Arabidopsis thaliana: one gene and its partner. The protein of the gene in region 1 interacts with the protein of each later gene in a pairwise test. Each region holds a gene or a part of one and is shown on either strand. Other genes may lie near its edges.

Region 1 (7,015 bases):
TCCCAATGGGAAAATTAGAAAATGAATCACTCCTATAGTCCTATTCAATCCATTTGTTTATGATCCTCGTAATTTTAAATATCGAATATTAATCTACAAGCCATAAATCATTTGACCAAATCGTAGCCATTTTATTTTCTGTAACTAAACCATGGCTATTGACTTTGGAAAAAATACTACATCTATTAGTTTAAAAATCTAAACAACTCATTTTCAAGATTTGGGAAGAAAAAAAACATGAGCTTTACATTGTCTACCATAATTAAAATGGTAATAGAAAAATTCTATTTCTAGTTTTTCAATATATGGTGAATCTTTCAGAGCACTATAAATTAAATATTTGGATACCATTACTTCTTTTCCCGTAAATTGTAGCTACTGAATGATAAAGCTATTCACCATTTGAGTAACTGACTCTCTTTAGTAAAAAGTATTTATAGATTTATGGTTTGCATTTAGATTAATTAAACGCACGCGTTAAAAAAAAAAAAAAAGAAGCGTGAGCCAAACGATTGAAGAAAAGTTTAGCTAATTTAGCCAAATAGTAATGAAAATGTTTCAGTTACAAAATAAAAAATGGCTTTACATTTATTGACAAAGCAAAACAAAAAGAATATGGGGGTTACATTTGAAAAAGTAGCTTTATTGTTTATGGGTTGTCTCTAGAAAAATGATAGTCTATGTGTAATAAATTAAGTGGTTGGCGTAAGCTTGACGATGACGGTGAAGAAGTTGGGAGTTTTTGGGAGATTCACAGTCAAAGTTCACATTTTTAAAAGTTCCTTTTTGCTGCCAATCCATACCTCAACCAACAACAAATTTGTCAGTTGTGTGCATTTATCTGTCGGTTTAAAATGGTTTTGCATAGACTATATAATAACAAAAGTTGAAGCTACTATATTTTTTATGTTATAAAACTTTATCCTATAAATATTGAAATGAAATACAAGTAATGAAACTTGCAAGTAATAAAGAAATATAAAGCTTTCCTGCTCACCTTATATTAATTTATAACGTTAAATATTTATACCATTTTTGAATTGCATCAGCGATTAATAGGGAAACAATCAAACAAAGAAGAGAGTAAGACTGAAAACTACAACTAAAAACAACAAAACAACAAAACATACCACAAGAAAAACATAATCAATGTTAAGTTATATTATATATGGTTCAACTTTTCTTTCTCAATCTTGACAAAATTGACCATACGTATTTTCCCTTAGAGCATCTACAACAATGGGATCCATATTTTACAATAAAAAATTTACAAATAGACATTTGAACTAGATTTATATTTGACATTGTCCAATGATGGGATCCAAATATAGAGGATCTAAAATTTTAAATGTTTGAAAAATGTGTCTAAGGTATGTGTGTTTGTGTGTCCAAAGAAGCGTCCAAAAGAGTGACTAAATGTCCAAAAATAGATCTGTATCTAAGGTTTTTTCTTCAATTTTGATTTAATTTTTAGATCTTTGATGTTTAGGACATCCTATTCCAACAAAATCTGAAGACCGACGCTAAAAACCCTAAACAGACTTATATTTCATATGTGTAGGTGACAGTGACAGACCGTATTCCTCAAAACGTGGAAAGATTCTTCCGTTTGTGAGATTCGATCTAATATTTCTTTAAAAATATATATATTACTACAATATGTTCAGAAGAAGAAGAATCCTCTACAATCAATTCATACAAAAATATAGGAAATCAAATAGCAATATCGTTTTTTTTTTTTCATCTTTTATAGATTGACTAAATAGAGCAAGAAAACTAGCAAACTTCCTTTTTTGTTGATATATACTACGTACAAAAGATAAGTTCTTATCATAAAAGTTTGTTGAAACATGTTTACCTCTTCTACTCTAGGGTTTGGATTTAGAGTTTAGATACAAGCTTTATTTCATATATTTCTCAAGAAAATATTAATATCTCATTATATTTTCATACATTATATGAATAATACGTACTGTCTTCCTCGGAAAAAAAAGGAAACCATTATTGTTATCTATGAAAAAAGTAACATGCGAAGAGCTGCAAAGCTCCTCATAAAAAACTTGAATAATCTTTAATTAAATAAACAAGAAAACATTGAGACTCTCAGATCCTTGACTTATAATGTGTATACTAATAAAGATATAAGAATACGGGAGAATCTTCAAACGAAACACAACGAAATAAAATGATGATGAGTAACGTAACTACCTTTAGAAAAAAAAAAAAAAAAAAGAAGTCATCGTTTTCCATAATCATCATATTTTTGAGGGATATTCACCAAACAGAATCATGGTCCTTTAAGGTGGCAGAGACGTTGGTTTTGATTGCCAATGGAAGAATACTCCCTCATGGTCCAACCACTCGTTTTGCTCTCATCACCTTCAACGTAGAACCTGAGATTCCTCTTCTTCCCGATCACTTCACCGGTTTTCTTCGACACGACATCTTTTAACTCTCCAGTGGCTTTCCAACCTTTAACTTTGCGATTTGTCCTTTTCACGAAATAAAACCACTCGTTAGGTTCAAAGATATCATTCTCTGTGTGATTAAGCCGCCACGGCTCTTTGGCGTAGATGTTGTCCCTGTCTTCTAACAAATATATCGTGTTTGGTTGGTGGAAGCCAAGCTTTGGTAGAAGATAATCGAGTATGAGTTCTTCTTCTGAAGGATTAAATCTAAAGCAACCAAGCTCTTCCTCTTCATCGTAAAATTCTTCAGTCATCGGCATCATCTTCTTCTTCTGAAATTTCCTCGAGTCAAATGAGAGAGAATTAATTATGAACCTCCTCTAATGAGGTTTATATAAAGTGGAGTATGATTGAGAACCGACTATTGAATATTATCTAATTTGGATTAGTTTTGGATATATATAAATATACAAAAAGGAAAGTTTACAAGTTTTTCATGTTATTTTTATAAAAATAAATCCAATAGGCACAGGGCTATACCAAACGAATAATAATGATGTCAAAAAAATAAACGAATAATAGTTAATAATTTTTCAAAAAACTAAAGACATTTATTTTGTGGCCCAATAATTCCAAACACATCAATTTGAAAAAAAAAATTATGTAGAGGAGATACAAAAGGAAAACAAAAAAATTTGTATGGTTTCGCACTGGGCTGGGCCTATCTAGAGTCCAATAGTCAGCAATGGTTTGGTTAACCTTTCTTTCTTAACCTTGGCTAAACAGACCACAAGTTTGGGTTCTAAGGTTAGATAACAATAAAATCTCAGGGCCGACCCCTGATACTTATGCTCATAAGCATATCCTAATTCTTTTAGCTAATATCGTTTAACGAATTTATGCTAATAATAACATGCGATCTCATTACTTGAATATCAAGAAATGCAACAAACTCTCTCTTTTTCGTCCCAAGAGGGGGTCTTGGCCTCTTGGGTATACTTTCTGCAGAACCATAAATTATGTTTCTCGTTTAGGTTCTGTCCTTTTTTTTTCTTTTTTTATAATATCTTGACTATATACCAGCCTATGTATATCATTTTTTTTTACTCTAATATATACTGGAAAAAGGAAAGAAAAAAGGTTTTTGTTTGTGCTCAATTCCTATAAGTTAATTTTTACATGTATCTGTTCTCAATAGTGTCTACATTCATTTGATCATTATAATTTGTACACTAGTACACTAAAAAGGAAAAAGAAAAAAAGCAGTATAGACTTTCCATAGTCAGAGCTCACCAAAAAGGAACCATGGTCATTTGAGGTGGCAGAGAATATGGAAATGAACTCATTACATATTTTGTACAACAAACCCATTTTGGAATTAAACAGGCCCTCTATGTTAATCAGAGCATAAGGATTTCATCTTTTTCTCTACAAACTTTTCAATTATCTTTTTCTAAGAGTTACAAAAGTATATTTGTTTTCTATATAAATTTGGGATAGTCTATCTACATTTCTACAAAATTCAGCTAACCGTTAGGTGAGTCACTCATAGTCATACATATCTTCCTTCTATATAAAAAAAGAATATTAGTTTTGAGTGGACTGATAAATATATTCTTTTCAACAAGAAGAAAACAATCTTCTTAAACCCAAACGTTCAAGAAAAAGAAAAAAAAACGATACTTACGATGAGTGCGGTAAAATCGGCGTTAGGTGATATGGTGATAACCTTTTTGTGGGTTATTCTCTCGGCGACGTTTGGGATACAGACGGCGGCGATTGTTTCCGCCGTAGGGTTTCATGGTATCACTTGGGCTCCTCTTGTGATCTCAACGTTGGTTGTTTTTGTCTCCATCTCGATTTTTACGGTTATTGGAAACGTTCTTGGTGGTGCTAGCTTCAATCCTTGTGGAAACGCAGCGTTTTATACCGCCGGTGTTTCCAGTGATTCTCTCTTCTCCTTGGCCATTAGATCTCCTGCTCAGGTGTGTGTTTATGATCTAAGCTAGCTTTTGAAACCAAACCAACTTCTTCTTCTTGTTCTTTATTTTGTTCTGAACAGAAAGATTTTTGTTCATATACTTGTGACATCTTTTCATATGAGTATTTGCTTTTGTGTCTTGTCTCTTCGAATAAGAATCTATTAAAGTTTTATCCTTACACATTGTTTATGAATTTCTTTACATTTATTTTGTTGTTAGAGCAATGTATTTTCTTTGTTTGTTGGATCTATGTGAAGTTTATTGTGTGTGGTCCATGTGTGTTTTTGAATAACGTACAAACTTTTTTAATTGGAGATTTTGGCCCAAGTACCCACTGGCATATTTGTTTCCATATGTAATGTAACCTTTTATATATCTTAGGCAATTGGTGCGGCAGGCGGTGCGATAACGATCATGGAGATGATACCGGAAAAGTATAAGACTAGGATTGGAGGAAAGCCTTCATTGCAATTTGGTGCACACAATGGAGCTATTTCTGAAGTGGTCCTAAGTTTTAGTGTTACATTTTTGGTTTTACTAATTATCCTAAGAGGTCCTCGAAAACTGCTCGCGAAAACGTTCTTGCTCGCACTCGCTACCGTATCGGTGTTTGTCGTAGGTTCTAAATTCACTAGACCATTCATGAATCCTGCCATTGTAAGTTCATACTCGTCCTACTCAAGAATTGTTAATTCATTTTTATTACATTTTGAAATGAATCTTGATATATAGTCTTGTGGTATATATTGTGATGCAGGCGTTTGGGTGGGCATATATCTACAAGTCTCACAACACATGGGACCATTTTTATGTGTATTGGATCAGCTCCTACACCGGAGCTATTTTATCTGCGATGCTCTTTAGAATTATATTTCCGGCTCCACCTCTGGTTCAGAAAAAACAGAAGAAAGCTTGAGAAAAAAATGGAAAAATCTAAGTAAAAATTTCATGAATCATAATCCCATTTGTTGTATGTTTTATGCTGTTGTCGTATTTGTACTTAATTTATAGTTTATAGCCCAAAAAAAAAATTCGTTTCTTTTTAAAATTTATGGATTCACATTTTCTCGGTTAGTGCGTAATCTACAAATTCACTCTCGTCCGGTTGAGTAGTATTGGTTAAGTTCGGTACGTGAAGGAGAGTCAGGGTGGGTTAATCCGGTTAAGGTTCATGTTTTCGATTTACAACTTCTATTAACCAGAGTACTCAAACCGAATTTCATACAGCTCAGGTTTATATGGTTTTGATATCCACTTAGCTTTGATTTTTATCAAATTATACCAAGTTCGATTCAACCAAGTTTCACTATCACAAAATTGCAAAAAAAATAAATATAAAAAGTAAACAGTCAAATTAAAAATCTCATGAAAAATTAGGAGTTGTTAGTGAAAATATTAGTGATAATCCCTTCGTTTCAATTTATTTATAATTTAAGAATTTTGCATACACATAAAAAGTTAAGACACTACATAAATTATGTAAATTGTTTATCTTTTTTATACTATAACGTCATTTTTTATTTAAAATAATATATGCAACCAATAACAAAATATTCTGCATAATACCAATATAATCAAAAGAAATAAATAATCATAAATTTTTGCAAAAAAATATTAATGAATAGCATTTATTTTTCAACAAAAACTTTAAAATACAAATAAATTAAAACAGAGGAAGTACTTAATTAAATATTTTGGTATTTATTACTACTGTTTAATTTCAATATAAAAAAAAATCAACTTTAACTAATTTATGCGTAAGCTCATTGTGAGAGTTAAACATAGTTGGGAGTTACCCATCTCCCGCAATCGTAACCCATAACGTCTTTTGTTTGCATCCATCGCTCTCTCATACAAAATTCAGATCTGAAGCACACACAAGCTTCGGATTCCAGATCAAATCCGGCGATTCAAGCCGCTTTCCCAAATTCACCGTCGATCTGGAGCCGTTACAGGATCCGCCGCAGACCACGGCGTCCTCCGGTACCGGCAACGGCAACGGTAAGATACGCTACCGTTCGCCTTCTTCCACTGAGCTCCTGGAGTCTGGTAACCATTCTCCTACATCCGACTCTGTTGACGGAGGTAAGATGACGGCGAAGCGTGGGATTGGACGGCACGAATCTCTTGCTGACAAGATCCAACGCCATCGTGGGATTATACTTGTGATTTCGGTTCCCATTGTGTTGATCGGTCTCGTTCTTCTGCTAATGCCTGGGAGATCGATTTCTGATTCCGTCGTTGAAGAGTATTCTGTGCATAATCGCAAAGGAGGTCCTAATTCGAGAGGTCCGAAGAATTACGCTGTGATTTTTGATGCTGGAAGTTCTGGTAGCCGTGTACATGTTTACTGTTTTGATCAGAATTTGGATCTTATTCCTCTTGGGAATGAACTTGAGCTCTTCTTACAGGTGATACATTGGTTTCGTTTTTTTCTCCTCTTTCTGGATCATAATCTATGGCTTAATAAGTGCTTGATAGATCTTTGTGTCATTCCCGAGATTTGATTCATTGCTTATGGTGATTTGTGGTACATTTGTGTTATTTTATGTTAATATGGTTGTTTGTGTGTGGAAAGGCTTGCACTGTGTAGCTTACTTGCTAGAGCTTGGTGAAGAAGCTTGC
Region 2 (4,391 bases), on another chromosome or scaffold:
TAGGTCATTTTCCATCATCATCAAGATCTGAAAAGAGAAGAAAATATATGCTCTTGGCTTGATGGAGTTTGTTATCGTGCTGTGCAGATCATTGCAGGGAGTTCGAATCATCCAAGCAGCTGCTGGTGCTGCTCGGACAATGCTAATAAGCGATGACGGAAAAGTTTATGCGTGTGGAAAAGAATCCTTCGGGGAAGCTGAATACGGAGGGCAAGGGACTAAACCAGTTACAACTCCTCAGCTTGTAACATCTTTAAAAAACATATTTGTAGTGCAAGCAGCTATTGGGAATTACTTTACCGCTGTTCTCTCCCGAGAAGGAAAGGTTTATACATTCTCGTGGGGCAATGACGGTAGACTAGGACACCAAACTGAGGCTGCGGATGTCGAGCCTCGTCCTTTGTTAGGCCCACTCGAGAATGTACCCGTTGTGCAGATTGCTGCTGGTTATTGCTACCTTCTTGCCTTAGCCTGTCAACCAAATGGCATGTGAGTTCCTTTTTTACACTTTCTTTTCTACTTTAGACCAGTTCAACAATATTATAGGTTACAACAAATGTAGTCATATTTGTATGGTTAAACTCTTTTGACAAAAATAATTTGGATCCTAAATTTTTTGCTATGTTTCTATGGGTCATGTGCAATAGAACACTATGCAAATGTCCAACAGCAGCACTGACTCTGTAGCATGCTTATTTTAGGTCTGTTTACTCAGTTGGTTGCGGTTTGGGAGGCAAACTTGGTCATGGGTCAAGAACAGATGAGAAGTATCCTCGGGTCATCGAGCAGTTTCAGATATTGAATCTTCAACCTAGGGTAGTTGCAGCGGGTGCTTGGCATGCCGCGGTGGTAGGTCAGGATGGAAGAGTGTGCACTTGGGGTTGGGGAAGATATGGATGTTTAGGTCACGGTAACGAGGAGTGTGAATCAGTCCCTAAGGTTGTTGAAGGTCTAAGCCATGTCAAAGCAGTTCATGTCGCAACAGGAGACTACACTACTTTTGTGGTCTCAGACGATGGTGATGTTTACTCGTTTGGCTGCGGCGAATCCGCTAGTCTCGGTCACCATCCATCCTTTGATGAACAGGTTAGTGATTGGCCATGGCCTCCATTGTTTCTTTTGCTTACATTATATGTTCTAAACTTATGTTTAGTCGTATGTCTGGTTTGATTTTTTGTTGCAGGGTAATCGACATGCAAACGTGCTAAGTCCAACGGTAGTAACATCGCTAAAACAAGTGAACGAGCGGATGGTCCAGATAAGTCTAACGAACTCCATATACTGGAACGCTCATACATTTGCGCTCACGGAATCGGGGAAGCTATTCGCGTTTGGTGCAGGCGATCAGGGTCAGCTTGGAACAGAGCTTGGTAAGAACCAAAAAGAAAGGTGTGTACCGGAAAAAGTGGATATCGATCTCAGCTAGCTAGCTGACTTATGTGGTTTGGTTGGTAAGAAACTACGTTTGACATCAAGGAAACAAAAACGCAAGAAAATTTGCGTTTGCTTTTTATGTTCATAAGACTTGGAAGCTTGTACAAAAAGGGGAATAACATAAACTTGTCTTTAACATTTCATTGTATAGGGTTTTTAGATTATTCTAATTGTTCATTGGTTAAGTTTTAGGTTATGTTGTTAATAATTATCAAATAATTTCATTAAATCAAATTATTGTCAGATTCAATTTCTACCAAATTTTTATTTTATTTTCTGTTTTCATATTTGTTGGGTTTACATCTATATATACATTTTTGCAGCCATTTTGTGATTTACATTTATATATACATCAATAAATCATGGAGTTGGAACTTATTTACAATGGTTACCACTGGCTTATTCAATGCGAAAATTAACTATCAAATAAAAGCAAATCTTATTCAAAAGAATATGCTCTTATTCCATGGCCTAGTTATTTTTGCCAAAATGGTTAAAATATTTAAAAATTAAATAATTATTTGAAAGAAAACTTTAAATTGATTTAAATTATAAATCTTTTAATAAAAATATTAATAAAAAAATAAAATAAAATAATTTCACCGAACATGATTAGATAGTAGGACTAGATGGTATGACATGTTTATAATATTATAATATATAAACTTTATAACAATTAAATAAATATTTGAAAGAAAACTTCTAAATTGATTTGAATTAAATATTTTTTAAATTAAAGTATTATTAAAACAAAAATAACAAAATAATGTCTAATTTTACTGAACAGGGTTAGTGGTAGGACGGGTTTGGTCGATAGTATTACGAGACGGTATACCACAAGTGAAATCCATTAGATATGTTTAATTTCATTGTGCATGATTAGATGGTATGACGGGTTTTGATCGATAATAATACGAAACGATATACTACGGATGAAATCCTAGATATGACAATTAAAATCTATATATATATTATCTTAAACACTAAATAAAGCAAACAATATTAATAAAACAAATATCTACATATACATTTTATATAACAAATTTTATTAAAAACCTAGCCCCGCGGTATACCGCGGGTCAAAATCTAGTTAGAGTACTAATATTCTATCGAAGAAAAATCTAAAATCCTATTTCTCAAATTGTTTTTGCTATATTTGATAAGATTAGAATTTAGAAAAAGCTTAATTAGGAGTAGAAGATAATATGTAATTTGCAATTTTTTCCTCAACCTTTAATATTTTTGGCAAAACCTCAAATTGCGTTGAGTCATCTTAGCACTTTGATCAAACAACTATATAAGCAAAGACCCTCATTACACAATTCAAGATAAATAAATAAAACAAAATACCCATAAAACATTTTTCAAAAAAAAAAAGTTTTTTGGGGATTACTAAATAACTAAATTAAAAAATAATGGCGCGTCTTCACCTAGCTCTCCTCCTCCTCTTCGTCGCTATCTCCGCCGTGATCGTATCAGCTGCTGAGAACGAAAAACCACCGTCAACCACCACCGCCTCAGCTCCCACCGCTACAACTCCAACCGATGGCATTGGAGGTGATATAGCAGAGGGTCCAGCTGATGACAATGCTATTGGAACAACTGACAACGACGATGCAGCTGTTACTCCCGATGATGCCAATGGAGATGATGAAGTGGCAGTCGCCGGACCTATTGGAAGCGATGCTTCGTACGCTAACTATCCTCCACCACAAAAAGAAGCTTCCGGAAGCGATGCCACCGTAGCTTTTGGCTTTGTCTCTGTTGTTGGTGCAGTTGCTGGATCGCTCTTCTTTTTCTAGAGTTGTGATCGGCGCGCGAACTTATTACTATTGTAATAAAAATGTTTGTAATATTTTCTTGTTTTAGATGTATTTTGACGATCCCTTCTTCGATGTAACATTGATTATATTGGGATGATACATATTTAATATACTAATATAAAGAAAGTTTTTTATTTGTGGGGTTAATATATTTCTGCATCTCATAAATTTACAAAAATAGCCCACAATATATGGGCCGTATTTTCTCACAGGGCCTAGCCCATCAACGTGTGAGTAAGCGCGTGTTTTTCACGTCTAAAAACCTCCATATCTTCTCCGCTAGCTCCGGAATAGAAGAAATTTTGCAGAGAGAAGCGTCAATGAAGGTCCAACGGTCAACTTTTTTGGCGGTGACCGGAAAATCAAATCTTCATCACTTTCACTCGTCTTCTCAGGTTCTCTTTTCTCTTCTCTGCGTCATCTAAATCAATTAAAAATCGTTCCTTTTGTCACTTCTAAGAATACCCATTTGCAATTGCAGAAAAAAATCTGAACTTTTTCTGATTTCATTGCGTTTTGGGGATAATGTCTTAATCAATTTCAGAGAATTCCCATTACTTCCGAGATCGATTCACGAGAGTTTGTGTCTAAATTACTCGATAGAAAATGGGGATTACAGTGTCCTGCATCTCCAATTCAGCAGATTAGTGTTTCTTCTGTCAAAGGAATCGATAAATTCTCCTTCTTGAACAACACTCGTCCACATCTCGGAGATGAAATGTCGAAGTCGAAGCAAGGATCTTCTTTTTACATTCTTAGAGATGATCTTTTACATCCTCTTGTGAATGGTAACAAAGCTAGAAAGCTTGATGCTTTGTTACCACTTGTTGAAGATCATAAAGTGACTGATTTGGTGAGAATGTGATCACTTATAATATCTCTCAACTGGGTTTTTTTTTGGAAATGGCTTAAAGTTTAGAAGTTTTTTTCTTGTGTGTAGGTTACATGTGGAGGTTGTCAAAGTGCACATACAGCTGCTGTTGGTAAAAGTTTGAATCTTTAGAGAAGAAATGGTATTGACTTTTGATTGCAATTTGAATCAGTTATTTGTATATCTTGCAGCTGTTTCTTGTGCTGAGAGAGGTCTAAGATCACATTTGCTACTGCGTGGAGAACAGCCTGATGTTTTGACTG

Evidence for each region. The genes of interacting proteins can lie anywhere in the genome.
Region 2: the proteins of SIP1;2 (region 1) and AT3G26110 interact in a protein complementation assay, tested with the Arabidopsis thaliana proteins (one large-scale study listed by BioGRID).

What each region holds. Positions count from the first base shown.
Region 1 is NC_003076.8:6,053,489-6,060,503, reverse strand, and holds SIP1;2 (Aquaporin-like superfamily protein), read left to right. Parts: upstream 1-2,135; 5' UTR 2,136-2,235; intron 2,236-2,287; coding exon of another isoform or gene 2,288-2,731; intron 2,732-2,926; exon of another isoform or gene 2,927-3,135; intron 3,136-3,803; exon of another isoform or gene 3,804-4,070; 5' UTR 4,071-4,096; coding exon 4,097-4,393; intron 4,394-4,771; coding exon 4,772-5,047; intron 5,048-5,147; coding exon 5,148-5,306; 3' UTR 5,307-5,434; downstream 5,435-7,015. Other genes in the region: NAC088 (NAC domain containing protein 88), read right to left, coding at 2,288-2,731; APY2 (apyrase 2), read left to right, coding at 6,481-6,801.
Region 2 is NC_003074.8:9,538,724-9,543,114, forward strand, and holds AT3G26110 (Anther-specific protein agp1-like protein), read left to right. Parts: upstream 1-2,759; 5' UTR 2,760-2,849; coding exon 2,850-3,236; 3' UTR 3,237-3,441; downstream 3,442-4,391. Other genes in the region: AT3G26100 (Regulator of chromosome condensation (RCC1) family protein), read left to right, coding at 1-3, 88-489, 702-1,086, 1,184-1,426; AT3G26115 (Pyridoxal-5'-phosphate-dependent enzyme family protein), read left to right, coding at 3,578-3,652, 3,802-4,110, 4,198-4,240, 4,320-4,391.